Linked DNA regions of Cricetulus griseus. The protein of the gene in region 3 binds, or shares a complex with, the protein of the main gene of each other region. Links are inferred from orthologs where the notes say so. Each region holds a gene or a part of one and is shown on either strand. Other genes may lie near its edges. The genes, in order: Vps72, Anp32e, Ing3 and Mbtd1.

Region 1 (6,863 bases), about 140 Mb from region 3:
TTAAGGCTGAAGATTGATCCAAGGAGTCTGAAATTAGCGTGGACAATTTAGCAAGAACTAAAAATAAGAATAAGAAGCCGGGCGGTGGTGGCACACGCCTTTAATCCCAGCCCTTGGGAGGCAGAGGCAGGTGGGTCTCTGAGTTCGAGACCAGCCTGGTCTACAAGAGCTAGTTCCAGGACAGCCTCCAAAGCCACAGAGAAACCCTGTCTTAAAAAAAATGGGAAAAAAAAAAAAAAAGAGTAAGAGCCAGGCGGTGGTGGTGCAAGCCTTTAATCCCAGCACTCGATGGGCAGAGGCAGGCGGATCTCTGTGAGTTAGAGGCCAGACTGGTCTATAACATAAGTTCCAGGACAGCAAGAACTGTTTTACAGAGAAACACTGTCTCAACCTGCGCCCCCTCCACAACCAAGAAAAATAAGCTGGATAGCTCAGTGGTTAAGAGCATTGGCTGCTCTTCCTGAGGTCCTGAGTTCAATTCCCAGCACGTACATGGGCACGTGGTGTCTCACAAACCATCTGTAATGGGATCTGATGCCCAGAAAGACAGAACACTCATAAACATGAAATAAATAAATCACTCAAAAAAAAAAAAAAAAAAAGTCAGGTAGTAGTGGTGCATGCCTTTAATCCCAGCCCTTGGGAGGCAGGTGGATGTCTGTCAGTTTGAGGCTGGCCTACAGAACAGGACAGCCAGGACAGCCAGGGCTGTTACACAGAGAAATGCTGTGTTTGAAAGAAAAGGCCTCCGAAGGGAGTGGCACTATTAGGAAGTGTGGCCTTATTGGAGTAGGTATGGCCTTGGAGGAAGTGTGTCACTGTGGATACAGGCTTTGAGGTCTCACACATGCTCAAGCTTTGCTCAGTGTAATAATCAGACCACTTCCTGTTGCCTGCAAGATGTTGGACTCTCAGCTTCTTCTCCAGCACCATGTCTGCCTGTATGTAGCCATACCGCACCATGATAATGGACTGAACCTCTGAACTGTTAAGTAAGCCACCCTAACTAAATGTTTTCATTTGAAAGAGGTGCTATGGTCACGGTGTCATTTCACAGCAATAGAAACCCTAAGACACCCTGTCTCAAAAAAAAAAAAAAAAAAAAAAGGGTGGGTGGTGATGGCACATGCCTTAATGCCAGCACTTAGGAGGCAGAGGAAGGTGGATCTCTGTGAGTTTGAGGCCAGCCTGGCCTACAGAGGGAATTCCAAAACAGCTAGGGCTACTCAGAGGAACTCTGTCTCAAAAAACAAAAACAAACAACAACAAAAAGAGGAGGAAGAGGAGGAGGAGGAGGAGGAGGAGGAAGAGGAAGAGGAGGAAGAAGAGAGGAGGAGGAGCTGGAGAAATGGCTAAGTGGCAAAGTTAAGAACACTGGCTGCTCTTCTAGAGGACCCCAGCACCTGGCAACTACATGGCAGCTACAACTGTTTGTAACTTCATTCCAGGGGATTCAATCTCATGTTCCGGCCTCTGTGTATATCATATGTACATATGTGAATACTGTATTCACATACATGCAGACAAAACATCTATAGACAAAAACAAACAACAGCTCATATCATCAAGTGCTATCAAACAATAAAAAGGCCTAAGGACAGGTGTGACAGCCAAGACTACCTCTAGCATTTGGGAGGCAAAGGCAGGGAGATCTTAGCTGAGGCCAGCCTGGGCTATACAGACACCTCCATCTCAAAAGAGAGAAAAAGGGGAGGGAAGAAGGGAAAGAGTGAGAAAACAAGGTGAGAGGGTATCCCAGTAGTGAACCACATGTCCAGCATGAACAAGGCCATGCGTTCAATCCTAGCACAAACAAAATTAAACAACCCAAGTAGACAAATACACTCACATATTCATACCATACAAAAAGGATTTTACCATTTTATTAGATTAAAAAAAGAAAACAACATTCTAACAAAACCAGAATGAACTAGGAGAAGAAATGGTGAAAAAAAAAAAAAAACAGCAAAGCTCATCGAGGACAAAGGGAAGAGGAGGAACTGAGAGCCAGGTCGGCAGAGGAAAGACGTTTCTATGGAGCAGGAATCTATTTAATGACAATTTTCTGACGCAAGGCTCGTGGTCCAGAGCCAGGGAGTGGCTCAGGGGGTGGGGGGCCAGGGCCTAAGGCTGAGGCAGCAGGGGGTAGTCCATGGGCAGTGATGTACTTCTTGTAGGCCTCACGAATGATCTTGAAGGCTCGAGCAGTGGCATAGGGTATGTCTGTAACAGGGTCCCGGTACAATGCTGGACGATGGGTCACTGGGCAGACCTCCCGAACAGGGACCTTTGGGGGTCGCCCTTGGGGAAACCACTCTTCAAATGTTGCATCATCACTGAATGTGATGAAGGTACGTGAGCAGTGAGCAGGAGGGACAGCAGGTCCAGAGCCAGCATGTGCAGTCAGTGCAGAAGCTGTAGGAGCAGGATCAAGTCTGAGGGCAAAAGACAGAAAAATTACAAAATGCCGAGGAGAAGGCAAGGAATCAGGCTGGGTGTGGTGTGGTACATGGCTGTATTGTCAGTACTTGAGAGGCTGAGGGAAGATGACTCCCCTGAGCTTCAAGCCACTGGAGAGACAGAGCAAGTACCTGTCTCAATAACAAAAAGCTGGGCAGGGAGCTGGAAAGACGACTCAGCATTTAAGAGTACCACCAGCTACTCTCCCAGAGGAAATTGGTTTCACTTCTAGCACCCAACAGCGGCTCACACCACCTGTCACTCCAGTTCCAAGAAATCTGTCTCCTTCTTCTGGCTTCAATGGGCACCAGGTCCGACATACGTACAGGTAAAATATTGATTTACATTTAAATAAAATAAAATAAAAATGCTGGGAGGTAGTAGAGCATGCCTTTATTGCCAGGTGGATCTCTGTGACTTCTAGGCCAGCCTGATTTACTGAGAGACTTCTAGGGCTGCACAGAGAAACCCTGTCTCAAAACAAACAAACAAACAAATCAACAAAACAAAAACAAGGCATGATGACTCACAATTGTTATCCCAGTACTAAGGAGGAAGATGCAGGTAGATCATGGGTTTGGGACTAGCCTGGGCTACACAGTGAGACTGTTCAAGAAAACAAAACAGGAAGGAATAAGCTGAGAGAAGGATGAGAAACGTCTGTAGGAGGAAGTAACCTCTAAGAGAAGCCAGGGAGACGGGGTTCACTCACCCTTCCACGTCCACATTCTCCTCCTTGGGACCAGGCTCCCCAACAAGTGGCACTGTCACTGAATGGTAGGTGATTACTGGCCCAGGGCATTTGCGCTTCTTGTGAACCTGCTTCTTTTTGTCAGCCTCCAGCCTTTCATAGGTCTCTGCAAGAGGATCAACAGGAGAACGAGGGAAGGATCAGTCTATCTTTTCCCACACGGTAGCTCTGGCCGGTGATCTATTAAATTACGTGTGTGTGTGTGTGTGTGTGTGTGTGTGTGTGTGTGTGTGTGTGTGTGTGTGTGTGTGTGTGTGTGTGTGTGCGCTCTCGAGTACATCTGCACACGCACATGTGCACATGCATGTAGAGGTCAGAAAACAACTTGCCAGAGTCAGTTCCCTGCTTATATTATATGAACTCCAGGGATCAAACTTGGGTCAACAGGGTTGTTGGCAAGTACCTTTACCTGCTGAGCTATCACAGATCTCACTAGGCCCTGTCCTATGATCTTAATTATTAATCTAATCACTGCTACTCTGGCCAGCTATAGAAGTCCTTCCTTTCTCAAATATAAGCAGGTCCTTACCCACTCAATACTGGAAGAGGCCTTGTGATAGGAACACACTGATTTCCATTTCTCCCAACCCCAAACGACCACCAACCTGCTCCTGGCTCAGACATAGTCTGTCCAGTTTTCAGATGAAATACAATTCCTGATGACAGTTTCCCTTTTTTATTTGAGGTGTGTTGGGGGTGGAGACATGGTGTCATTATGTAGCTCTGGCTGGCCTTGAATTCAGAGATCCATCCACCTGCCTCTTGCTCCCCAGAAAGTGCTGGGGTTAAAGACGTGCACCACCGCCACCCCACGAGCCGGAACTAGTAAGTGTGAACTTTCTAATCATTTTGCCTCCAATCTCCATTTGTCTGGTCCTCCAGGTTTCAGTTTTCCTCATGCACCTCACAGACTGACCCAGTGAACGTAAGTTGAGCTCTTCTGTGATCTTGGCCTCCCTGAGCAGCTCTTCCTGGGTTAGTGGTCGCTCACAGTGGGGACCCTTTCGCCTCCGGGACTGTCCTTGCCGTTCCTGAACGCGAAGGAATGTTTGTCGAGTATGCTCAGCTGTAGATTGACGCATAGACTTCCGACCTGCAGAAAGTAAGATGGGAAGAACTCTTTGAATTCATTTCTACTTTCTTTCTTCTTCTTTTTTTTTAATTTTTAAAACACATTTCCAAAATCCTGGCTGTCCTGGAACTCACTATGCAGACCAGACTGACCTAGAACTCAGAGATCCTCCAGCCTCTGCAGTGATAGGATTAAAGGCATGTAACATCACGCCCAACTAAAACAAATTTCCTTTCTTTTGTTTTTTTGTTTTGTTTTGTTTTTCAAGACAGGGTTTATCTGTGTAACAGTCCTGGCTCTCTTGGAACTCACTCTGTAGATCAGGCTGATCTCGAACTTACAGAGATCTGTCTGCCTCCGCCTCTCCAGTGCTGGGATTAAAGGCGTGTGCCACCACTGCCTGACTCAGCCTTCATATTTTTAATTTTGAGACATTCTCACTAAATTATCAGGCAAGCTTGCTCTATAGCACAGAAGTTGGCCTTGAACTTGTGATTCTCCTGCTGCAGCCTCTTGAGTAGTTATGATTACAGGCCTGCACCATCAGACTAGGTCTATTTCTAAGAATAATGATTTTCCCGAGTTGAAGAGCTAGCTCAGTGGTTAAGGTGCTTGTTGAGCAATCATGACCACTGGAGCTCAGACACTAGCACACATGTAACAAGCCCCACCCCCAAAACTGCAACTCTAGCTCTTCTGGCCTCTATATGCATCTGCACATACAAGCATACATACGATAAAGTAGGCTGATACACAGACACGTCCCCATGAATGTACACACACACACACACACACACACACACACACACACACACACACACACACCCTCCTTACATGACAAAACAGTTATCAACCTTAGTAAACTTAGTTCAGACAGAACATTTAATCATCACATTTAAATTCTGTCAGCAGATTTAAACTTACTGTCAGAGCCATCATCCTGCAGCTCCAGTGGCAGCAGTGCCTTCTCCTCTCTGGCCTTCTGAGAGCTACTTGCTGGGGTGCTGACTTTTCGAGGCCTCAAGCTCTTTAGAGGCTCCTGGGGACAAATTAGAATCAGATACCAGAAAACAGAAGAGATAAGGGTAAAGTTGAGGATTTCATCAGACAAAACCAACATCCAGCAAGAGGAGAACACAATTAAAACAGTCCAAGCAGCTGGATGTGGTGGTGCACACCTTTAACCCCAGCGCGTGGAAGGCAGAAGCAGGTGGATCTCTGCAAGTTTAAGGCCAGCCTGGTCTACAAAGCGAGTTCCAGGACAACCAAGACTGTCACACAGAAAACCCTGCCTCAAAATAAATAAATAAGTAAACAAATAAATAAATAAGAGACAAACAAACAGACAAATAGAAGTCCCCCCTCCATTCCACCCCTACCTTCCCACCTCCAAAAAGGTTTCCTTGGTGTCCAAGGAAACAAGGTTCCTTTGTACCTTATAGGCTTTGGTGACGACTCTGCGCTTCCTTCTTGGCTCTTCTGCTTCTCCATCACTGGATGGTTCATCTCCTTCATCAATGTCAAAGTCAGAGTCTACCTCATCCTCTGTATCAGACTGGTCTCCCTGATACTCATCATCTCCAGATTCCTGAGGACAAAGGAAGATGGGAACTGACTGGCTCTGTTAATGCTCCTGGAGGAGGAAGTGGATCAAAATACTCCCCTGACAGTGACTCTCGGATTCTTTCCCATTTAGCTTTTCACAGAAAAAGCCTTTCTGATGGTTTCTAGTTGAGTAACACTGCCTGCCTTCCAGTGTTACAGACAGCTGGCCTATATCATCTATAACACCATGTTAATTACTGGAGGTCTAAAGGATGTGGTTTGGCCTCATTTACTGAAGGATAGAACTAGCTATGACAAGAACTTGTAGCTGAGCCATGAGTCAGGATAGTTCATGACTATGATCCCACATTCAGGAAGTCTAGGCAGGAAGACTGCTGAGTTTGAGGGGAGCCTGGGTTACACAGTGAGATCTGGGACAGCATAAGCTACAGAGTGAGACTCTATTTGAAACAAAACCACAAATAAGTTTAAAAACACAAATAAATAAGTTCTAAAGTAAGGAAACATAGATATAAAATTCCTTGGCTAATTAGAGGTTCAGGTCAAGCCTGGGTTATAAGAGATGCTATTCCCAAAAAAACTGATTAAGGGCTGAGGAAATAGCTCAGTTGGTAGAATGCTTATCTAGTATGAAAGAGGCCTTAGTTTCAGTCCCCAACACTGCATTAACTTGGTGTATCCTTGCACAACTGCAATCCCAGTGCTAAGGCGGTGGAAGCAGGAGGAGCACAAGTTCAAAATCACTGGGGGCTGGAGAGACGGCTCAGTGGTGAAGAGCACGGGCTACTCTTCCAGAGGACCCAGGTCCAGTTCCCAGTACCCACATGGCAACTGTCTGCAACTCCAGTTCCAGGGGATCTGACATCCTCATACAGGCACAAATGCAGGCAAAACATCAATGCACACAAAAATATAGATAAACAATAAATTACAAATAACAATCACAAAAAAACAAATTCAAAGTCATCTTTGGCTATGTTGCCAGTTTGAGGTCAGCCTAAGGAACATGAAACC
Region 2 (7,957 bases), about 140 Mb from region 3:
CGACACAGCCGCCAAGTTCATTGGGGCTGGGGCTGCTACAGTTGGGGTGGCTGGCTCTGGGGCTGGGATTGGGACTGTTTTGGGGAGCCTCATCATTGGTTATGCCAGGAACCCTTCTCTGAAGCAACAGCTCTTCTCTTAGGCGATTCTGGGCTTTGCCCTCTCAGAGGCCACGGGGCTCTTTTGCCTAATGGTGGCCTTTCTTCACCATGTGAAGCTGCTGTCTCCACTTCCACCTCCCGTAGTTCTTTTGTGTCCCGTCTGCCCTGTGTGTCCCTTTTCCTGTACCTCCCCAGGAGGTCTGGGGAAAGTGCTTGGCTCAGGGTTTGACAGAGAGAAGACAAATAAATAGTGTATTAATAAGAAAGAGAGAGAGAGAGAGAGAGAGAGAGAGAGAGAGAGAGAGAGAGAGAGAGAGAGACTGGGCTATAGGCAAGCCTGTAAGGTATTTTCTTAATTAGTGATTGATGTGGGAGGGCCCAGCCCATTGTGTGTGGTGCCATCTCTGGGCTGGTGGTCCTATCAGAAAGCAGGCTGAGCAAGCCATAAAGAGCAGGCCAGTGTGCAAAACCCTCTGGGGCCTGTGCATCAGCTCCTGCCCCCAGGAGTTGACTTTAATGACTTTTTACAGTGCTGAAGTGTGAGCCAAATAAACCCTTTCCCTTCCAACTTGCTTTTTGGTCATAGTGTTTAGTCTTAGCAATAGAAACTAGGACAGCAACTTAGTGAGACCCTGTTTCAAAAGTGAAATGTAGGTTTTAGGATAGAGTTCGGTGGTAGAGTGCTTGCCTGGCATGTGAAAGTCTGAGAAGAAGAAAGGGAATGATATTTAGTTATTCAATGTTTGGTGCTATGGATTGAACATTAGGGCCTTTTGCATGCTGAGTAATGCTCTCCCAACAAACTATACCCCCAGACCCAGACTAATCTATTTCACCCTTCCTCTGTATCTAGACTAAGTCATTTTCAGTTTTTATCCTCTAACAACAATTAGAATACTCTCATTCATATATATTTATAAACTTGTCCAGCTGTTGCTGAGAAGTGGACTCTTAAGTGAGTAGTGCAGTTTTTCCTTCAACATTTCACCTTGAAAAAAAGTTAATTCAGGCTAAAGGAGGTATAATTTATATGCAGTAAAATCACCCTTTTTAGTGCACACTTCCATGAGTTTTGACAAATCCATTGGGTAACTTACCCCATAATCAAGATACAGAACAGTTTCATCACCACCACCCTTGCAATAAGTCCCTTGGGCCCCTTTGTAGTTAACTTCTCTTCCCACACTCATCCTTTGGTAACCACTGTTTTCTGACCCTATAATTTTGGCTTCCTCAGCACATCTTATGGATCAAATTACACATCCTTTGGATGTGGCTTCTTACACTTAGCATCATTCCTGTTGCTGGGTATAGGGAATTTGCTACACTTTATCACTGAGTTTCTCTGTGTGTAGACCACATTTGCTCACTTATTGGCAAGCTGGAGAACATCTGGTCCGTGTCTAGGTTTGCAGTATTGAACCACTTTCAATGTTGACATACAAGGGTCATACTGTAAATGCATGTTTAACTATATAAGGGACCGCCAAACTTTCCCACAGTGACTATAGGGGTTGTCATCCCCACTAGATGTATACGAGAGCTCATTCTTGTTTTTGTGCATATGTGCATGCTGTGATGCAAGCAAGTGTGTGGATACAGACATGTGGAAGCCAGAAGACACCCTTACATGTCATTCCTCAGAGCCTTGCTTTAAAAACTTAATATTTAAATACTAAGATAATCTTAGAGATATATGAATGTTGCTGTTAAATTGACTTTCTCCCTTTAATTTGGTCAGGGATCCCAGCAGGTAAGATGCTACCACCCAAACCAGGGCGGTGGTGGCTCACACCTTTAATCCCAGCATTTGGGAGGCTGAGGCAGATGGATCTCTGTGAGTTCAAGGCCATCCTGGTTTACTCTCATCAGTTAAATCTCTCTGGAAACACTCTCGGAGACATACCCTCTAGGTGATTCTAAATCCAACCAAGTTGATGAGGAAGTTCAATCATCCTAACAACCTTGGCAAAAAATAAATTTATTAATAAGTAGGAAAATATACTTATTAACTGTATAACAGAAGAGCATATGAAAATTCTATAGCTAGGTTTCTTGCATTGAATGTGTCTGTCTTGTAACTGTGTACATTGGATTTGTAGGCTAGATTGCTGTGGAACTAGATGAATTCATATTCTTTTAGCATAGGCCAGGAAAAGTAGATACAAGCTTAAAGACCAAAGATCCACTTACCATGCTTTGTTGTGTTTATGGATAGTCTATAAATTCAGTGTCTAGCTACATACATAACATTATTATTGTTAACTATCCTAGCAGGGGTTAGATGAGCAGATATCTGTTTATTGTATCTTATGCCTAGTAGGAATATGAAACTGTAGAGGATGTCTATCAAGGTGGCTCAGCAGGTAAAGGTGCTTGCTGCCAAACCCGACAGCTTGAGTTTGAACCCAGGAACTAGCTCAGTGGAAGGAAAGCACTTGACTCCTGCAGGCTGTCCTCTGACTTCCTATACATCGCAAAATAAGTAAACAAGTGTAAAGAAGCTTGGCGATGTTGGCACACGCCTTTAATCCCAGCACTCTATCTTTCATTTTATTTTACATTTTTTTTTGGTTTTTCGAGACAAGGTTTCTCTGTGTAGCTTTCCTATCCTGGCACTCTCTCTGTAGACCAGGCTGGCCTCGAACTCACAGAGATCTGCCTGCCTCTGCCTCCCGAGTGCTGGGATTAAAGGCGTGCACTACCAACGCCCGGCTCAGTACTCATTTCTTACTTAGGTTTTCAGTTTTTGTTTTGAGATAGAGGCTGGCCTAGAACTCACTTTGTATACCAGGCAGTTCTGCCTGCCTCTCCCTTCGGAGGTCTGTGACCATTATGCTTCGTGTGTACCATTATGCTTCGAATTACAGAAACATTAAGTAGACTTTCTTTTTAAAATGTATTTGAGTGTTTTGCTTTAATGTATGCACACGCACATCTGGCCCTGGAGCCTGTGAAGGTCAAAAGAGGCTATTGAATTCCCTGGAACTGTAGTTATGGATGATTGGGAGCCCTCATGTGGGTACAGAACCAGGGTCCTCTGCAAGAGGACATCGTCTCTTCAGTGCCTCACATACACTTTAAAAGAACACTTTAAGTAGATTTCTGCAGGAAACTTACCAAAGGGAAATGGGAAATTGGAAATTGTGTTTTCTTTAGGCCCGTGCTGCTTTTCCTCCAAGGTCCCAACTATTTGCCAGCGACAAATGACCTCAGTATCAACTCCCACAGGACAGTTTTATTTAAAGGTTTCTGACTCAACGTGCTAAACTCAACTGCTTCCAGAGTCGTTTCGCCTTTGACAGTGGAAGTTAAAATACCTTCTTTATCACGCTCTGGTGAACGCCAGGGCCGTTCGAGACGGGGAGGTGTCCCGAACTCGCTGCTCTTGCGTTGAGTCCCTGGCTCACTGGGTAAGCCGCATAGCAGGGAGCTTGTGCTTTAAGACTACCGAAAGCTCTGGAGTGCGGTGCGCTGGATGACCGACCCGCTTACACCCTGGGGACGCCAGCGACGCCCTTTCCCTTCCTCTAACCCCGAAGCCAGAAAGCCCTCAAACAAACAAAAACAAATTCAATAGACAGCCAAACCGTCCCACTAGCGAGGGAAAGCGCGCCAATCACACAAAGAAAAGGAGGGGGGCGACTGGGATTCAAAATCGTTTCTCCGGGACGTACATCCTCCCGGACCTATCGGAATTAACTGCGCGCTTGCTCAGAGCCAATAGACCCCGAGTTTCTGGTCCGGGGCCCCCCTAACGACGGATGGGCAGTCCTCTAAGCCAATGGAGTGGCGCGACGCTAAAGGCTCGGCCAATGCAGTCGGGAGGTGGGTGGAGCGTAGGCCAGGGGGTTGGCGGTGCCGTGTCATGGAGGCTCAGTCTCGCAGCAGCCATTGAAGGGGAAGGAACTGCGGGCGGGCGCGCGCGTGTCTCTCTCTCTCTCTCTCTGTGTGAATGTGTGTGCGTGCCCGTGTGTGCGCGCGCGGGTGTGTGGACTAGAAGGTGGGGGCAGCCGAGTTAGTCCCAAGTCGTCGGACTCCATTTGCTATTCTTTTCTTTCTCCCCCACACCCGGGTGGTAGTGGGCGTTCGTCTTTGCGTCTCTTTTCATTCATCTCCAGACCTTTAGGGGTGTTTTAGGGTTGGGGGCAGTGGGGAGGGCAGGCGAGGGGAAAGGAGGAGGACATGGAGATGAAGAAGAAGATTAACCTGGAGTTGAAGAACAGAGCCCCGGAGGAGGTGAGATGACTCAGCCCCCACCTTCCCCTCCCGCCCTGTGTCGCGAGGGGTGGGCTTCGGTGGTCCCGGTGGGTGCGCGGGGCGGACTGGGAAACGCGCCCCCACTCGCGGTGGGGGCGGGGTGTTTATTTTAAGTTTTAAATCGCCAGGCTTCTTGTGCTTAAAATGGCGAAGGGCTTAAGTTTCTAGGGGCATTTTCCCGGGCGCGCGGGGGCTCAGCCCCTCGGCGTCCCCGCAGTCTGGCGGCCCGGCCTCGCGGGGGCGGGCGGCGTGGGCGCGACCCCCGGGCCTTCGCCACCTGCGAAGTTGGTGTAACTTTCCCGCGGTGCCGCCATTCGGCCGGCCGCGGCCCGGGGCGTGGGTCTCGGGCCGATCTGCACCCTGCGCTCCCTCCGGCGGTGCCCACTCGCGGGCGGCGCGCGCCGGGCCGGCGCCGGCGCCGGGCCCGGGCGGCGGCGGAATCCCGGGACCCGACGGCGCCGGCCGCGATCCTCGTGGCGCGCGGACCTCTCTACGCAAGCCCGTGGCTCGTGCGAGCCGCGCAGTGCCGTGTGCGGTCGTCGGGAAGACTCGCGGGCTGGGAGGGGCCCCCGGAGGCGTCGCCTTCGAGCCCCCCGCCGTCGGGTTCCCTTGCGGTTCCCGCCAGGTTCCTGGGTCGGAAGCTTGGGCCGCGGCGGGCGGTGACGGCGCCTGGGGCTCGCCGGTTCGCGGCTGCTTGAAGACGAGGGACAAGGGACCGGCGCTACGGTGGTCCCTTGACGCCCTAGCAAAGGCGCCGGTCTGCCCGGCCTTCGCAGTCACCGTGCAGAGCTACCCGTGCCTGAGCCCTGTTCTTTTCTGTGGCGGGTTTGCGGGTTTCTGCCGACTTCAGCCGAGAGCGAGGTGGAGGAAACATTGTTTCTGTAAGGGTTATTATCGCTGGGAGAACTAGAAGTTTTCTAGAGCTTTTTAGAAGATTCTGGAATAACTCAAAGTTAAAAAGCTGTCCATCAGCAGGGCATGGTGACTGATACCTGTAATTCCCAGCCTTTGGAGGCCGAGGTAGGAGGATGGCTGCAGGTGGGACTCTGTCGAGCAGGGCAAAACAAATCAAAACAAGCAGTTTCTCATAAGCCTTAGGTGCAAATGTGGGCCTCTTCCCGCATCCTTTCGCCTCCAATTTGGAGAATTGCGGGACATTGCCATGGTGTAGTAACAGGTTTATATAGACAGTTTATTTTTATTTATGTTTTTGGCTTTTTAAGACGGGGTTTCTCTGTAGCTCTGGCTGTCCTGGAACTCCCTTTGTAGACCAGGCTGACCTTGAACTCGGAGATCCACCTGCCTCTGCATCCCAAGTGGGCCACCACTGCCCGCTATATGGGCGGATTATAAAGTGCCCAGTTTACTTTCTCCTTGGAAAACTTGTAAACTGGGTTGTATTGTTTTAGAATCCAAATTTGCAAACAGGAGTCCCAAGACAGTGTAGTGGCGTATTCTGGCGGAAGAACTGGGTTTCTGACACTGGATGTACAAGGCCTCTTGCTGAGCTCTCTTAGCCCTGGATAAGACTGGAATCCAAAGGCTTAAGAGGTGCCTGGCGTGATAGTGCACGCCTTTAGTTCAGTTCTATAATCCTGACACTCCGGAGGCAGAGGCAGATGGGTCTCTGAGTTTGAGGCCTATCTGATCTACAAAGCAAGTTTCTGGTCAGCCAGGACTAAATAATGAAATGCTATCTCAAAAACAAATGAACCGGAGGGTGGTTTCACACACCTTTGGTTGCAGCATTCACTTTTAATCCCAGGGTTTGCAGGCACAGATATCTGAGTTCGAGGCCAGGCTGATCTACAGAGTGAGTTCCTGGACAGCTAGGGCTACACAGAAAAACCAAAACAAAAAACAAACAACGCAAAATAAAAAAAAAAAAAAAAGGCTTAAGAATCAAGACACCCCACCATACTGAGGGTGTGACCTATTAATGCAAGTCATTTTTTTTCTAGACCTTGGCTTCCTGGTCTCTAAAAGGGATGTTATGGTTCCATTTCTGCTCATTGGAATAATGATTGCCAAAGTTACACCCAAGTAGAGAAGATGGCATTTGTTGTTCCTGATTTTTAGCCTTTAAATAAACATTTTTGTACTGGGGACAGAGAACCAGGATCTGATTAGGTCTATTCAGGTGCACTGGTAAGTTTGTTACTACATCTGGGATCTGGGGTTGGAGTGATGCTCAGTAGTCAAGAGCACTTGTTCACATGGTAGCTTCCAACTGCTACCATTCCTTCTTCCACCTCGGAAGGCACCAGGTATGCATAGAGGTATCCATATGTAGGAAAAACACCTGTACACATAAAATAAAAATAAGCCTACAACTCAGATCTAATAAGAAACCCAGTTCTGAGCTGGAAAGATGGCTCAGGAATTAAGAGTACTGGCTGGTCTTTGGGGGACCAGGTTTGAATTCCTACAACCCACATGGTGGCTCAGAACTGTCTGTAAGTTCAGCCCTAGGAATCCGACACCCATTGCTTCCGTGGGCATTGCATGCACAGGGTACACAGACATACATGCAGGCAAAACCACTGTCTGTCTATCTGTCTTATCTACCTACCCATCAAACAAAACAAAAAAGTGACCCTCCCCCTTTACTACCAAGTTCCAATGTTGTGGTTGGTATTTTGGTTTGGTAGGTTTTTGTTTTTGTTTTTTTAAACAGGGTCTTTCTCTCTGTAGCTTTGGTTGACCTGGAACTATTTAGACCAGGTTGGCCTCGAACTCATAGAGATCCGCCTGCCTCTGCCTCCCGAGAGCTGGGATTAAAGGCGTGTACCACCAACGCCCAGCGGGATTGATGTTTTTAATATTTGTGTTTTTAGAGTGTTCAGACACAGGTCTATTGCTATGCAGACTAACTGTTAATATGTTTCTTCTGACAGGTGACAGAGTTAGTCCTTGATAACTGTTTGTGTGTCAATGGGGAAATTGAAGGCCTGAATGATACCTTTAAAGAACTGGAGTTTCTCAGTATGGCCAATGTGGAATTAAGTTCCTTGGCCCGGCTTCCCAGCTTAAACAAACTTCGAAAGGTGAGTTGGGAGTAGTTTGTGGACACCATGGTTTTTATGCTGAGGCTGGGTGGTGGTGGTGCATACCTTTAATCCCAACGCTCAGGATTCTTTCTGAGTTCGAGACCAGCCTGGTTTACAGAGCTAGTTCCAGGACTAGTAGGGCTGTTACACATAGAAACCCTGTCTCTAAAAACCAAAAAGAAAGAAAGAAGAAGAAAAGAAATCTTTAAATTTCTTGAGATAAGAAAAGGGAAGGAGACTAGAGACACGGTTCAGTGGTCAAGAGCACTGGCTGCTCTTCCAGAGGACCTGGGTTCAATTTCCAGCACACAATTCCCAGTCACAAATGTGACTCCAGCTCCAGGGGATCCAATACCCTCACACAGACACACATGCAGGCAAAACACCAATGCACATAAAATAAGAATAATTAGTTAACTAATTAATTAAAAAGAAAAGAGCTGGTCAGTGGAGACACATGCCTTTAATCCCAGAGCTCAGGAGGTGGAGGCAGGCAAATGTCTGAGTTCAAAGCCAGCCTGGTTGGTCTATAGAGTGAGTTCTGGG
Region 3 (7,272 bases):
AGTATTTCATTTGACCAAAATTAGATTTATGAAATCATATTTCTTGGATCCTGGCTGTGCCTTAGAGGCTACCGAGCTGATCCAGCTCATGGACGAAGAAATGGAAGCCCAGAGAAAGGATGCTTCTTTGATAAAAAGGAGGCTCTAGGCTTCTCTGACCTGAACACTAAAGAATGAACATTCACTCCGCGTCATCAACTTGGACAGCCAGACAGAACCAACCTCCAAGGACAGAGGAAGATGGATCTTACATGAAGAAGGGAAATACGTGAAAGATTTAAAGATATTCAGACATAATTGTTCTCTTAGGAAGTGGAATGAGTGATCGGTAACTAAAGACATCAGGTGGGATGGCTGTGCTTCCTTTCTGGTGCTCTACTCAGAGATATGGGGAAAATACTCTGTGAAACATTCAGAGACTTCACTGCACAGGAGGAAGCAGCGGGACCCCAGAGGACATGGGCTCTCAGTCAGCATCTTCTCTAGCTGCCAGAGACCTAACAGGGTGCTGCTCTGGAAATGTAGGGGTAGCCCTGCTTGGAGCTCCCTGCCCCCAACTGCTCAAGGCTTGTGCCCATCTAAAGAACACACTGTACCCACCCTGTCAGGGAGGAAACACACATGACTGTCACCGCACCAAGGCCATCTTTGCTATTCTTTAGACTATTTTACAATTCCACTCTTGGTAAGATTAGGATTCCAATACCACTGGCGTCACTACTGCCACAGATTTCAAGGTACTCCTCGAGGTTAAAAGAGGGGGTTCTTCTGTAAGGCAGTTAACCAAAATTAAGCCCCTGTTGTGGTTTGTGTTTGTCCCCGATAAGCTCCTGTGTTTAAACAGATGGCCCCCAGCTGTTTAGGAAGTTTCTACAATCTTTAGGAGAGGGAGCCTTGCTAAAAATACTTCACTGGGGGTAGGTTTGGAGGTTTTATACCCTGCTACTACTACTGCTAGCTGTCCCCTTTCTATTTCCCATGTGTGGGCACACTATTTAGTATCAGGCAGCTTCCTGATGGCCAGGCCAACCACATACTCCTGATGCCATGCCTCCCCTGCCACAACACACTGTATCCCTCTGGAACTGTGAGGCAAGAAGAACTTTTCCCTCCCGTAAGTTGTTCTGCATCAGGGCATTCTTATCAAGTAACTGATACACCTCCTAAGAGAGGAAGCAGGAGTACCTTCCTTCATATTGCCTCTTATTTTCCCATCAGAGAAGAGATGGCTTGCACCAGCATAAATCCCTGGTGGAGGGAATGCTGAATGCTGCAATACTGAGAGAGAAACAACATCCCATTAGGCCTTCATTATTCCCAGACATCATCTACCTACAAGAATGTAGGGCTTTAAAGTCTCATTTCTTCAATGTGGTAAATGGCCTGGACTTTAGCAAATACTGTATCTTAGCTGAAAGAAAGGAAAGCACTTGGAATTGCCAGAAATAAACCTTGAGAATTTAATCTGAACCTAGCACTGTAACACTTCCTTGAAAACCGTTAAGCAGGGAACTCAGGAAGGGACTTAATCCTGCTGTAGACATGTAGATGCTCCCATCATGATAACATAGTTATCATAAACAAAAACCCAATTTTCAGATTGGAAGATTATAGTTAATAAGACAAATATTCAATTATCTACAACTTTTTACATTCCAAAATGGAAAATGTAATACTTACATCTTGGTTATCACATCCCACCATCTCACCATAGGATACCTAGTTGAAAGAAAATTAGACAAATTTATTATAACTACTTAACAAGTATCTAATCTAAATTAGGTGTTTACGATGTCAGAGAACAGATAGAAACTCACAGAGAAAATACAGCGAAGGAGTTGGGAATATGGTGATTGTTGTTGTTGTCTTTCTTAAAAGACGATGGGACAATGCAGGAGGATATGCCCAGGAACTGTGGCTCTTTGGAAGTCTAAATGAATTCACTAGGTATGCCACCCAGACTAGGATCAGATTTGTGGGGGTAGTCCTCATGGTAAAACTGTAAAGTTTCTTTCTCTCTAACTACCAAGTGACTGATTTTATTCCTCTTGGGTCACTTCTGCATCAACAGGCCATCTGAGTCTACTACTGAGACCAGAGGGAGAAGGCAGGTGTCCTCAATGACTCTCCAGGTAGTGTTTTGAGATAGGGCCTCTCAAAACATTAATAACATACATAACAAAACAACAGAAAATACAGCGAACTCTGGTAGAAGTTAATTTATAAGAATATAAAATGGTTTAAAAGGCACACATACTAAAGCCCACTAAAATGATCATGTAATACAAAAATTTCAAATTGGTGCATTGTATTTAAGAAAAAAATAATAGTGCTTGACTGGGCTTTAGGAAATGCTATGCATATCAATTTTACATAGTGTGTGTGTGTGTGTGTGTGTGTATGTGTATACACACATATATCTTGATAAACCATATCAAACATTTATAACATCATTATACTTGAATGGATTAATATAAAGTTAGTATAAAAGGAATTACATTAAAAATGATATTTAGGACTGGAGATAAGACCCAGAGGTTAAGAGCATTGGCTGCTCTTCCAGATGTCCTGATTTTAATTCCCAGCAACCATATGGTGGCTCACAACCATCTATAATGAGATCTGGTGCCCTCTTCTGGCCTGCAAGCATACATACAGGCAGAACTCTGTATACATAATGAATAAATCTTTAAAAAATAATGTTTATAATATCTGTGATTTAAAAGAAATGAGAACTGTAACATGATCTACAGCTAGGTACAGACTAAATAATTATGGTACAAAGCACAAGAGCTAGCTTTGAAAAAATTTTAAAAAGAACCTTGTTTTAGTGAGCAAAAGATAAATTATGTCATAGACATACAAACATACCATATCCATATATATTATGTGTATATAACTGATAGGGAATTAATGTTTGTATTCCTTTAAAATTACTATTTTGAAGTCATAACCCCATATAACTGAAGATTGAGTCTGTGAGGAGTCTGTGGTTATGGTTAAATAAAGCCAAAATCTGATGAGAAGAAACAATGAAGCTGGCATATGCTTGCACATATGTACAGTATGATGCCCCTGTCTCTCATCCATGGACACTCGCTAAAAAGGCAATGGTCTTCAGACTAAGAGTGGTCTTACTAAGAACCTAATCAACAAGCACCATAATCTTGGATTTCTTCTGTCTCCAGAACCATGATATGAGTTTCTGCTGGGTAAGCCACTTGGCTAGTAGTATGTTACATTAGCCAAGATATAGCAAGGTACACACTGGTACGACATCAAAGTGTCTCACTACAGGTTGTATTGGAAGGCTGACATTCTGTGTAACTCACGATTATATTCTTGGTATTTACAACAAGTATGTTACTTTTATAAGAGGAAAATTATGCAAATAAGTCATTCTTGATGTTAGCTAGAATAAAAAATGTGCTGGAAATGGAACAGTTATCTTCCTTCTTATTTATTCTGTGCACTTTTACAGACAGGCATCAGACTTTTACCTGATTGCAGATGCAGTACCGAGGTTCATTTGGGTCATAGGTCCAGTCAACTTGACTGTTGGAATCAGATTCGGGCACTACTGTTGCTTGCTGGGAGACTTCTTGTACTACAGTTGAAGATGACGAACATAAAGATAAGGAAGAAGAGGAAGAGGAGGAAGATGACTGCTGGCTTGAAGACTTGGTGTTGTTTCTGGAAATAAAATTAAAGATCAGTTTTATTATCACATTTGGTCCCCTAAGACTGACTCCTAGTAACTGACATAAAAGGAAAGGACACATTGATGCCTGATGCTACGTTACAGAATCTCATTCAGAAGCAACTTCCCAGAGCAAAGAAAAGCAACACTGTTGGTAATAGTTTATTTTTATTTACAATTTTTGATTTCTGGAGAATAAAAATAATGAGAAGAAAATACTTTAAAATGCTCTATTTAAAATAAATAGGAGAAAATTCTCTTAAAATGTTTTCAACTTTTAAAAATAATTTCTAAATTAAAGTTACTATTTATTGTTGACTTAAAACTTCTGGTAGTAGCTATACTATATCATATTATATTTTCACAGTAAACTGAACAGTTCTCATCAAAATCCTAAATGCAAATATACATTTGGTATTTGGTAAAAATCCTTACAACATCAGGGGTAGGTGCCCTATGCCTACCATGTCTAGAACATGGAGCTGAGATTGTCAAAATTCATGAATTGTTTACCACCAACTCTATTCAAGAGTTCTAAAATGCAGAAACTTACTATAAGGAGTTAAATTAAATTTGGGCAATTCTATAAATTTTAATATATATAATAGTTCTGTGAATATTTTACACTGATTAGTCTTTCAGGAATTTTGCAGAGAAGTAATACATTTAAAAATAAAATTAAAATACAATTATTAGATAATTCCTTTTTCCTTTTTATTTATTCTCATAAGAAGACTCCCAATAGGAGTTAACCTCTCCTCCCTTCACCTCTCTTCTCCCCCAGGTCCACTCCTCCTCAGTCTCCCTTCAGAAAAGGGCAGGCCTCCCTGGGTATCAAACAAACATGGCATATCGAGTTGCAATAAGACCAGGCATATCCCCTCATATTAAGGCTGGACAAGACAACCCAGCAGGAGGAAAAGGGTCCCCAAAGTAGGCAAAAAAAAAGCCAGAGACAGCCTCCGATCCCACGGTCATGTATACTCCCAGATTGTAGGTTCAGTCTCTCTGAGCCTCTAGGAGCCCTGGTTAGTTGATTCTGTGGACTGTTTCCTGTAAGATAATTAATTCTTTTGGCCTAGCACTTGCACCTTTTTTTATCTTCAGATAATAGCGTCTGCTCTGTAGCCTTAGCTGGCCTGAACTTCCTATGTAGATCAGGCCGGCCTTGAATTTAAAGTAATCCTCCTGCCTCTGCATTCCAAGTACTAGGCACCAACCACTCCTGGCTTGAATTTCAGTTGTATAAATACCTGCTGTATCTATTACCTTAGATGAACATGGCAAAGTTTCATTTCCACAGTTCACACAATCACCCTAAGTCTCTCACATACCAAATCTAGGGACATTTTCATGTAATCAGTTTTCAGGACATCAGCAAAAATTTAGATGTTTTACTGTTAATCAAAAGGAAAAACTTCCTGGAATACAATTTGCATTTTATATTAATTAACCATGAAATACCTAAAAATGGAAACAGTACCATAAAATGGTTTATCTTGAACAAAAGAAAGTAAAAAAAAAGTCACTTATATGCAAAGTCCAAAAAAATTACAAATGACTTTAACACTTAAACAACTGCCAGCCTTCAAGGTCAGGCAGTGCCACCAGCCATCTGCCCACGCCAGCAGTCTGCTTGGGTCACTGCACCCTGCCTTACTTAATTCCTAAAGGCCCAGCTGAGGCTCCATGCAAACAGCACTGAGCAAAGGCACACACTTCCACTCCAAAACTTACTTGCTCTTCCTGCCACTTCTCGAGTCAGCTGCTGAGGAACTGGCATTCTGGGTTAAGGTTGTCATGAGTGCCGATGAGGAGGAATAGCCAGCTGTTTCTCTGGGCATTGAAAATTCCTTTCCCAGCTGAAAGTCATTATTCTTAAACGCTTCATAACTGGCTTTTAAACTTGATGTTCTTCGTCCTTCTTTCATCTTAAGTAGACAGGCATTGACAGCATTAATATATGTAAATATGTATTTTCTCTTTTAAGCATTACAAGTTATGGTTACTTAAGTCATTTCATGTAAAGATGCTAAATCATTTTTATGCTAAGTTGAGAAAAACTATGGGAAATGGAACTTCTTAACTTGCACTGTGTGCAAACTACAGAAATGAGCTAAATGCAGCCACCACAAATCCAGCAGAAGCCTAACTTTGCAGAAAGAACAGTCACTGTCCTCACAAAGAGAACCAGGCTACTTGAGCACTGACTGGGAGAAGGTGGGCGTGTGATACCCACAGTGCACTCTCTACCCAACAACCCCTTGCATTATTAATAAAACAACACCCAGCCTAAATGTCAACTTCAAACCGAAACCAGGCAATGTCTTCAACCCGTCACTTCGAACCTAGTGGTTCCTATTGGGGGTTGCCAAGAACAGGAGCAAAAGGTAACATTTGCCTCTAAACCTTTGACTTTTCACCTGTGCTGTTGCTTGCACTGCTTGAGCTGCTGCCATGGTGATTGCCCCTGCACCAGTCCCTGAAGATAATGAACCAATGTTATAGGATGCCAGGGGTTGGGATGAATTCACATTGTAAGCATTGTTGGAGGAAGCTGTGGAATTATTATTTCGGCAACCTGTAAAGAGGTAAAGAAATAAAAATGGGGGCTGAGAACACAATGTTGCGGGTTTAAAATACATTATTTTTCAGCATATATAATCATGAAATTTAAATTCTTCAGGCACTTTAGGGATTGAGTCAATGGAAAAAACGGAAGCCAAATTTCCTTTTCTATTCTCCATCCACATGCAGACTTTAGCCAGGTAACACAGGTATGAATAATAACCCTGAGTGCTTCTCTGTGCCCTTACTCCAACACAAACAAAACAAGGGAATTACCACACTGAAGAGCACCAACTTACCCAGTGTGCTCTCCTTAGAAGCATCAGACGTGAGGGTGGACAGGAGAGCTTCAGATTTGAACTTCTTTTCGGGGATGTGATCTGTTGCTGTATGGTGAGAAGTTGGATTATATTTCCTTTCTGAATAAAAAGAAAGAATTCACACAGTTTTAAACTTTAGAGGACTACAAACTGGGCATAATACTTCCACCTCTTTATAAACCATAATTCTGATCTAGGTTCCCCATGAAATGGGCCATTATGCTCAGCAAGGAGGGGGCAAGCAAACAGCCCACAGCACATGTTTCACTTAGAGAGCAGACACTTCAAGGACTTTAGAAATTTATAGGAGCAAAATACTAAAGACAACCTATGATGCACTATGGTTTCACATATACCATGAGAGGAAGTCTATTTTAATATATTGCCTGTCATTCAGAATAGCTTTCAATTTACCTTTCTTTCCTCTTGTCCAAAAAAAAAAGACAGCAACACCATCAACTAGCCATGTATCCAACAATTCTTTTACTCACTAACTCATTGGTAGTGAGACTTTATTACATGCTAAACATTAGGCTAAGCATTTAGAGGCGAGGCTGACTGAGACATAGCCATATGAAGAAATATAATTCAGGTCTGTAGGAAGCAGAGAGATGCCGCTGGTGTTTCTATATATTCTGTCTCTGTATTTATAGAAGAGACTGCCTGTTCTCAGATTAAATGCAC
Region 4 (7,732 bases), on a different chromosome or scaffold from region 3:
AATACTGAATTCTAAATTAACACTCAAGTCAGAGTGAAAAGCAGAAAGGAATTCAGAACCAAACTTAGTGTTTCCCTAACTAATTTATTAAGACAAACTTTCTGGGACACACAAACACATTCTTGGAAGGGCTTGATGGACACACCTAAAACCCTAGTAATCTGGAAGCTGAGGCAAACACAAGTTCAAAGCCAGCCTGGGCTATTAAATGAGACTTTGTCTCAAGAAATCAAACTGGGCTGGGAAGATGGTAGAGTGCTTGTTGCCCAAGTCCTAGGACTCAAGTTCAGATTTTCCTGCACCGCATAAAAGAGGTCACAACAGTGAGGTAGAGACAGGCAGATCCCAAACCAGACCTACAACAAATTCTCAAATGTTATAGTAGGACTAAAAACCACCACCTTCAGGAAAGGGGTGTTTTTAACTAGTGTCTTCAAGAGATGAGACCAGTGATTACACTGTCCAATTTGGAGATATATGGCTGTTTAAGTTGACATTAAGTGAAAACAATATGATAAAATACTAAAGGCTTCCATTCATTAACTACATTTTAAGTGTTCAATAGCCACTAAGGCTGATGGCTTCCATACTCGCTAGCACAGATAACACACATTTCCATGACTGCAGAAAGTTCTATTAGACATCAACAAATGATTCTATACCAATCCTTCAACTATAAGGAGAAAAATCAAGGCATCTGATGCCATCCCACAGCCATGGGGCTAAACAGTGGCAAAAGTGCAACTCAAGCCTCTTCTGACCATTGTTCCCCTGACTACCACTGCACCCCTTTTCTTACATTCAGGGTTTATTCAAGCCAATTTATAGCCTTTTAATCTTTCATTATGCTTTCTAGCAAAGCCAGAAGAGAAACTGTAAATTCATGGGGGGGGGGATACTTAATAAAAAAATTGAGGATTAAGAAATAGTAAGCTCTTGGCTGGGGATATAGTGTCAGTAACAGAGCTCAGGCACACAGGAGTTCTGGGCTCACTTACCACCACTGCATAAGCTAGATATGGTGGTACATACCTATGAACTACACTTAAGTTTGAGGCCTGAAAGGGATACCTGAGACCCTACCTCAAAACAAAAACTCCACAATAATCTAAAATAATAATAATAATAAAACATGCATCTTTAGTAAAAATAAAAGTTACCTGGGACCATTAAGGATACCCTATTAGAAAATGAATCTAAGTTTGTAAACACTTAAAATCTTTTCTGTCTTTATGGTTTTTCCTGTCATGTATTTGAAACCCTGAAACTAAAGACAACTTATTGTCCTTAGTTAAATCTTCTGTTGTTTTTGTGAAATGGGGAGTTTTACTAGATAACCCAAGTAAAGCTGTATACTCTGCTCCTTGGGTGGTAGGATTAGAGGCAAACACCACTGGCTTAGATAGACATGGAAACAATTTTAAAGATGAAAAGGTGAGAAATAAGGAGCAATTCAAAACAATTGACTTCTCTAATTTTAGAATGTGCTTATTCAGATCACCTGAGCACTGCTGGCTTTTGGTAATTTAGTAATTTTGGTAATTTAGGATATGACATCAATATACCATTTATACTTATAAACAACAATTATGCTTTAGTTTGAATACTGTATTTTAACATAATTTGCTTTGTTTTTAATTTACAAAAGTAACTAAGGGACAAGAAGGAACACTGGAATATCTGGAAGACTAATATAATAAGATCCATGTATAGCCAGCCATAAAAATACAGCAATGCCCTCTTTAAAAATAAGACCAGTTGTGGCTAGAGAGATGGCTCAGAGGTTAAGAGCACTGACTGCTCTTCCAGAGGTCCTGAGTTCAATTCCCAGCAACCACATGGGGGCTCACAACCATCCATTATGAGATCTGGTGTGCAGATATACATGGAAGCAGAATGTTGTATACATAATAAATAAATAAAATCTTTAAAACAAACAAAAAACCAGTTGCCGGGCGTTGGTGGCACACACCTTTAATCCTAGCACTCGGGAAGCTGAGGCAGAGGCAGGAGGATCTCTGTGAGTTCGAGGCCAGCCTGGTCTACAAAAGCTAGCTAGTTCCAGAACAGGCTCCAAAGCTACAGAGAAACTCTGTCTCGGGGAAAAAACAAAAACAAAACAACAATAAAAAACCAACCAACCAAAAAAAAAAAAAAAAAAAAAAAAAACAACAACAAAAAAAACCAAACCCAAAACCAGTTGTTCCTGTCTAGTATGTTTAGAATGCAAACGCTTCCAAAGTCAGTCCAATTATGTCATGACAGTTCATGTTAAAGTTAGCAGGAAAAAAACTTGAAAGCCCATACTGACTCAAACTTTGAAAACATGAGTAAAGAGCTCTGTAAATTTTCACAGCTAGGATCCACTAGTGACTAGCCCTGAGGGAAATTCAAGCTCAAAGTTACAAAATGGTTAAAAACCTTGGCTCAGGAGAAGATATTATGAACAGACACTTATTCAAGACAGCTTTTGCCCTAATCTGCAAGGCATTTGCAATCCTTGAATATGGGGTTCTATATAAATAGAAGCTACTTGTTATTCAGAGGAGGTGGTGCAAAAACAGCTATTTTCTTTCTAAACACTCTTTGGTGTTGAGGTAAACAGTCTGAAACACACAAGAGCAAAGCAACTGCTCTATCATAGGCTGGGGAACAGGAAAAAGTTTGCTTTAACAGTATCAGGAGATACTGGGAGTTAAGCACATCAGTGGGTGCCAATATGTATTTTCAAGTGAACTACTAGGTGACAAATTCTGCTGCATATTAATGTAGAGATGATTAAAAATACTGAAAACTCAAAAGTAAACATTAAAGTGTTATAAACACTTTAAGTTTCATATAAGAATTGTTGGGGGGGGGAAGGTTGCTCAGTAGGTAAAAGTCTTGCCGACAACCTTGATGACCTGGGTTTGATACCTGGGTCCCACATGGGAGTTGAGATGATGACTTCAACCTGTCCTCTGACCCCCCCCCCAATGTAGCATGCGCTATCCCATAATACACTAATGTTAAAACAAAACAAAACAACCCTTTGTGCTGCACAGCCTTCCCTTTTTGTAGGGGGCTGGGTTTGCAAAGACCACAAGTCAAATCGATAGGAAGGAACAGTTTTGATTGTTTTACCGGTAATTGCCTTCATCAGCTTCAACACTATTCCTTTCTAGGCCCAATTTTAGACATTCTTAGGAAAAGTGATTCAGGCACAGGCAAATGTAACTGGCAGTACTAAGGAAATGGAGTTAAAATTCCTAATCTCAAGAATACCAGCGAGACAACCATGAAATCCCCACGTAGACATTCTCTAGCTTCCCGAGAATACTATCAACTACCTTTAGTCATGTAAGCAGCACACTTGCAACCGACCCGGCAGGCAAAGTTTTCAGTTGGCCTTCACTATCTCTTAACTCTCCCCACCCCCCTTCCTCCACTTCCTTGCTCTTCTTTCCTGGCAGGAAAATATAGGCCAATGAGCAGTGGGTGGGTGAGGAGGATGTGAGAACAAATTTGAGAAGTAAAAAAGGGAGCAACTTAACCAGGACATGAATGAGGCTGAAGGGTCTAATAAGGGCAGACAAACGAGTATCGTTATCAGAAAGACTGAAAATAATGGAAGGTGCTTTCCTCGGCGGGCGGCAGTGCGTGTCATTATGTATGCAGGTTTAAGTAGAGGTCAGACTACCTACCACTTGTCAGAAGCTGGACAGGGGCGGCTGCTTGGGGTGACTTCTAGTGTCTCTTCCGACTCTGAAATGTTAGGATTACTAGTTCACAAAGGAGAACGAAAGGATGATGGAAGCCCACCACCGCCTTGGAACTCTTCTGAAGCAGCAGCCTCGGCCGCCGACTCCCCGACACCACTCCTACGTCTCCCTCCCACACGTGCCCACCCCGCCCCCTTTCAATATCAGCACCTCCACGTGCAAAATGCCTCACGGCACTGGCCCCACACTAGTGGGCACCTTCCCCTGCAAAGCCTTCAAACTCTGATTGCGCCTGCCCCCACACCCCAGAGAAGGGAGGACACCACTCTCCCACCGTTGGCAGCTTAAAAAAAAAAAAAAAAAAAGGAAACTCTCCTCCGATCTAGCCTTTCTCTTCAGCCAGAACAGGTGGGTGGGGGGGAGGGCAGAGAAAAACTTTCTTCTCAATTCTTCTCAATTTTTTTTTTCCTCCCAGAGAGTAGAGAGAACCCCAAGTCACAAGTTGAGGGGGGAGGGGAACCCCTTGAACGTTTAACGGCCAGCAGGGGGAGGGGAGCTCTGGAGATGGAGGGGGCGTGGGATGAAGAAACAGGCCCGCGAGCGGGGTCCCGGAGCTGCGGGGTTCCTGGGGCCGGGCAGCTGCAGGCGTCCCCCCCCCAAACCTGGCACACAAAGCGGCTGCTGCGCTCGGCTCTCACCAGATCCTTTGTGTTTTCCATCAGGGCCTCATGGGTAGGGGCCGTCCGTGCTCCCCGAGCCCGCGGCGCCCCCTCCCCCCCGAGCAGGGGGCGGGCACCTCTCCCCGGGACTGCGGCGACTACAGGGGGGGACCCCCGGCTGGGCCCGAGCCAGTGGCGGCAGTGGCAGCCCCCGGATTTCCCCCCTTTAACTCGGGTGGCCCCAGGATATCAACAACATTAGCATAGCCCTCCCTCCCCAGCGCGCCTGCGCCGTGACCCGCGCCCCGATTGGCCCACTTCCCCACGTACCCACCTCTCTCCCCTCCAGCGTGGGACCCTCGGCAGGCTCCGTACTCAAGGACCGTACCAAAACCAGAAGGCGATGAGGTAATGAGGGCTCGCGGCAAGGCGTGGGGCCCGGAGTCAGCAGGAAGAGAAGTTTCTTTCAGCCACTTTCATTTCTACTCCGGCCCTCTTGAGTCCCTTCCAATATTGCTGCCTCTGAGAAGTTGTGCTGGGAAAATTTTCCACCCCAGTCACGCCGCTTCCCCCTACACCCGGAAGATTGGCCTTCCCTGAGGAACTCCCACACGGGGAGGGGCTGTCGGACGGAGTGCGAGTGACGTAGCGCGTGAGTGCCGGTCACGTGGCGCGAGGCGGCGCAGGCTCCTTCCGGCTCCCCGGGGCTGGGCCGCGGCGGGGAGCGAGACGCCCCGGCACATGCGCAGTGGTGCTCCACGTGAACGTCTGCGTTTCTCCTCAGACCTGAGGATGCCGCCGGAACGCAGGAGCCGGACGAAACCAGACCGGAGAGCCGGCGCGATGCCGGGGAGGGAAGCCAGGCCCGGGAGCGGCGGCACGCCCCGAAAGGCCGCTCGTTCATCCCAACGGACACCGCAGGCCGGGCAGAGGACGGCCCCTAGCGCGGTCACGGCGGCGGCGGCAGCGGCGGCGGCGGCGGAGGAGGAGAGCCGGCTTCGGCAGCGCAACCGCCTGACGATCGAGGACGACAAGCCGGCCGCCGAGCGCTGTCTGGAGCAGCTGGTCTTCGGCGACGTCGAGGACGACGAGGACGCGCTGCTGCGGCGGCTGCGGAGCTCGCGGGTGAGGGAGGCCTGCTCGCGGAGCGGGCACACGCTGCCGCCGGTGCGCGGCGGGAGGCGAGGCCCGGGGGCGGAGCCTGGGGACCTGCGGCGGCGAGCGCTCAGGTGGGAGGGACCGTCCGACCGCGGGCGCCGAGGGGGCACCGCTGCGCTCTCCGCCTCCGGCGCTGGGCCGCGAGCGGGCGAGGGCGGAGACGCGGTCTTTCTCCGCCCTAAAGGGGCCGCGGCCCTTGGCATCCAGCAGGCGCTCAGCTGCTGCCTTGATTGCCAGAAGGTTTGCCTGCTAACTGGAGAGTTGGGCATCTTCGGGTTCTGATAACCCTCTGCTGGAACCTCCCCCCCACCCCCCGGGGTAGCGGTGTGCTCACCTGTCGCGAGTCCATTTCGTGGATGGAGCCAATGGCGTGGGCGGAAGGCGTAGAGCTGCGTTTTAATAATTTCTCCGTGTGAGACACACGCCCAACTTTTTTGAGAATGATCGGTGTATTCGACTATAACGGTTTTTTTTTTTTTTTTTGGATGCTAGTTCTTCGTAGCAGTTATAAATCCTTCGTGATTGATACAGTTTTGCGCTGTCGTTATTTTCGTTCTGTACCGGGTCCCCCGTCTAAGGTAGAGCGTCCCAGGTATTGTTCTAGGTACCGGAGGGAGACACAGCAATGGAGAAAGCCAATAAAACCCCTGATCTCATGGAGCTTGTGTTAGTAGCGGTAGAAAAACAAGGTAAAGGAGTACGATGGTGGAGAGGAAAATGAAAACATTTGGGAAAGGGAATTAAATTTAGCTAGGGCTGTTGAAACGCCTCAGTAAGAATGCCAGCATTTGCTAAATTAAGCTGACCTTTTGTGTGGGTGCTTCAGTGAGAGGATGTAGCAGTCTCCTTTGGGAGGTGGAGAACAGTTACTTTCCGAGCTGTGTGACAGAAAGGAATCCTTTGGTGGGCTTTGAAAGACCTTACGTCAGTAGTGCAGGTGGATACTGTCATTGACTTCTTGGGCACTGTGGTGTGGGTTGGGGGAGAGCTCGGTTCATTTCGAGGGGATTTTATTTTTTCTTGTGGAGTATGTTTAGGTTTGAATGTTGCATGAAATTTTAAGGAGGTTGAGACCAAGCACACAGAACAAGAGACCCTCCTTATAAGGGTAGGAGACAGATTATGTTTTGTGGGATTCTAGATGGCCCTGGGTTATTTAATAGTTGAAGCTTAGAGGTTTGTTCTTTACCTGTCCACTTACCTTTTTCCCTGGTCTACTGTGGTCTTTTCCTTTCAGTGTGCTTGCCTCTCCTTGACTGTTCCATCCTGCTCCTCCTGCCCACTCTTCCTGGTGGTTTTGATCTCATTTCCTGCCTTCTCCTTCAGCATGTGCTATGGTCGTATTCCATTACATTATTTCATCAACAGACCAGGAAAGCAAAGCATTCTACAAGCCATCTAAGTCTAAGGTGTGGGTGTCTGCCCCCACCCCATAGGAAAAGCACAGTAGCCTGAAGGATGGTGTGTCTCCTTAGGGTCACCTACATGGAAGCTCCGATGACTCTGAAGTGGAAGATGAAGCCAAAGACACTCTTCCTTCTCAGAAGAAGCCAGTTTGGGTGGATGAAGATGATGAAGATGAGGAAATGTAAGTTACCCATTCCTTTCAGAATCCCTCCCGACACTTTAAAAGTTAACTTGTAGATTTTTACAAGCCATTGTCTTGGAAAGTATGATTACATGAAGAATTGAACATATGGAAGTGCAGGAAAAAGGTGGTTCACAATTCTGTGTCTGAAAGAAAGGCGCTGTTAAATTGTCTTTCCTTGTCTGTGTGCAGGATAGACTGCTTAAGTAATCAGTGGCATTAGATCTTAGCTTGCCTTTGGTTCCTGACTACCTCAGGACAAGTTTGGAATCTCTACCTCTTCATAAGTAAAATGAGTGTCAGAATAGTGACTGTAGCAGAAGGCCCTTCAGATTTAAGTGATGCATATAGAATTTTTAGCATAGTGCCTGAAACTCAGTGAAGACGTGACATAAAGTTAGCACACTGTATTATGTGAGTGTATACTACATACTTACTTTAACAGTTTTACCTTTTCTATCTAAAAGTTATATTTGAAGCATGGCACCTCACTTTTGAAGAAACACCTTTATGAACAGTTTTAAATGGCTGTGTTGTCCCTGTATGAATCAAAAATTTATTGAACAAATGAATTTTTCTATTTTTCATTTCAGAATGCTGACGTAAGCATCTTTATGAAAAACCTT

What was found.
Region 1: Ing3 (region 3) and Vps72 share a complex: the UniProt entries of both Homo sapiens proteins name them as parts of the nuA4 histone acetyltransferase complex. The link is inferred for Cricetulus griseus from reciprocal best matches to the Homo sapiens genes ING3 and VPS72.
Region 2: Ing3 (region 3) and Anp32e share a complex: the UniProt entries of both Homo sapiens proteins name them as parts of the SWR1-like complex. The link is inferred for Cricetulus griseus from reciprocal best matches to the Homo sapiens genes ING3 and ANP32E.
Region 4: Ing3 (region 3) and Mbtd1 share a complex: the UniProt entries of both Homo sapiens proteins name them as parts of the nuA4 histone acetyltransferase complex. The link is inferred for Cricetulus griseus from reciprocal best matches to the Homo sapiens genes ING3 and MBTD1.

The regions. Positions count from the first base shown.
Region 1 is NW_023276806.1:61,379,081-61,385,943, forward strand, and holds the end of Vps72 (vacuolar protein sorting-associated protein 72 homolog), read right to left. Parts: intron 5,872-6,863; coding exon 5,719-5,871; intron 5,323-5,718; coding exon 5,208-5,322; intron 4,305-5,207; coding exon 4,128-4,304; intron 3,318-4,127; coding exon 3,173-3,317; intron 2,436-3,172; coding exon 2,048-2,435; 3' UTR 1,949-2,047; downstream 1-1,948. UniProt on the Homo sapiens protein: Deposition-and-exchange histone chaperone specific for H2AZ1, specifically chaperones H2AZ1 and deposits it into nucleosomes.
Region 2 is NW_023276806.1:60,584,866-60,592,822, reverse strand, and holds the start of Anp32e (acidic leucine-rich nuclear phosphoprotein 32 family member E), read left to right. Parts: upstream 1-3,962; 5' UTR 3,963-4,286; coding exon 4,287-4,340; intron 4,341-6,489; exon of another isoform or gene 6,490-6,509; intron 6,510-7,258; coding exon 7,259-7,408; intron 7,409-7,957. Other genes in the region: ATP synthase F(0) complex subunit C2, mitochondrial-like, read left to right, coding at 1-142. UniProt on the Homo sapiens protein: Histone chaperone that specifically mediates the genome-wide removal of histone H2A.Z/H2AZ1 from the nucleosome: removes H2A.Z/H2AZ1 from its normal sites of deposition, especially from enhancer and insulator regions.
Region 3 is NW_023276806.1:205,239,370-205,246,641, forward strand, and holds part of Ing3 (inhibitor of growth protein 3), read right to left. Parts: intron 6,688-7,272; coding exon 6,568-6,687; intron 6,282-6,567; coding exon 6,124-6,281; intron 5,632-6,123; coding exon 5,438-5,631; intron 3,694-5,437; coding exon 3,501-3,693; intron 1,720-3,500; coding exon 1,681-1,719; intron 1-1,680. UniProt on the Homo sapiens protein: Component of the NuA4 histone acetyltransferase (HAT) complex which is involved in transcriptional activation of select genes principally by acetylation of nucleosomal histones H4 and H2A.
Region 4 is NC_048600.1:106,795,476-106,803,207, reverse strand, and holds the start of Mbtd1 (MBT domain-containing protein 1), read right to left. Parts: upstream 4,934-7,732; 5' UTR 4,695-4,933; exon of another isoform or gene 4,691-4,694; intron 4,642-4,690; exon of another isoform or gene 4,400-4,641; intron 3,745-4,399; exon of another isoform or gene 3,684-3,744; intron 1-3,683. Other genes in the region: Utp18 (U3 small nucleolar RNA-associated protein 18 homolog), read left to right, coding at 5,102-5,485, 6,994-7,106. UniProt on the Homo sapiens protein: Chromatin reader component of the NuA4 histone acetyltransferase complex, a multiprotein complex involved in transcriptional activation of select genes principally by acetylation of nucleosomal histones H4 and H2A.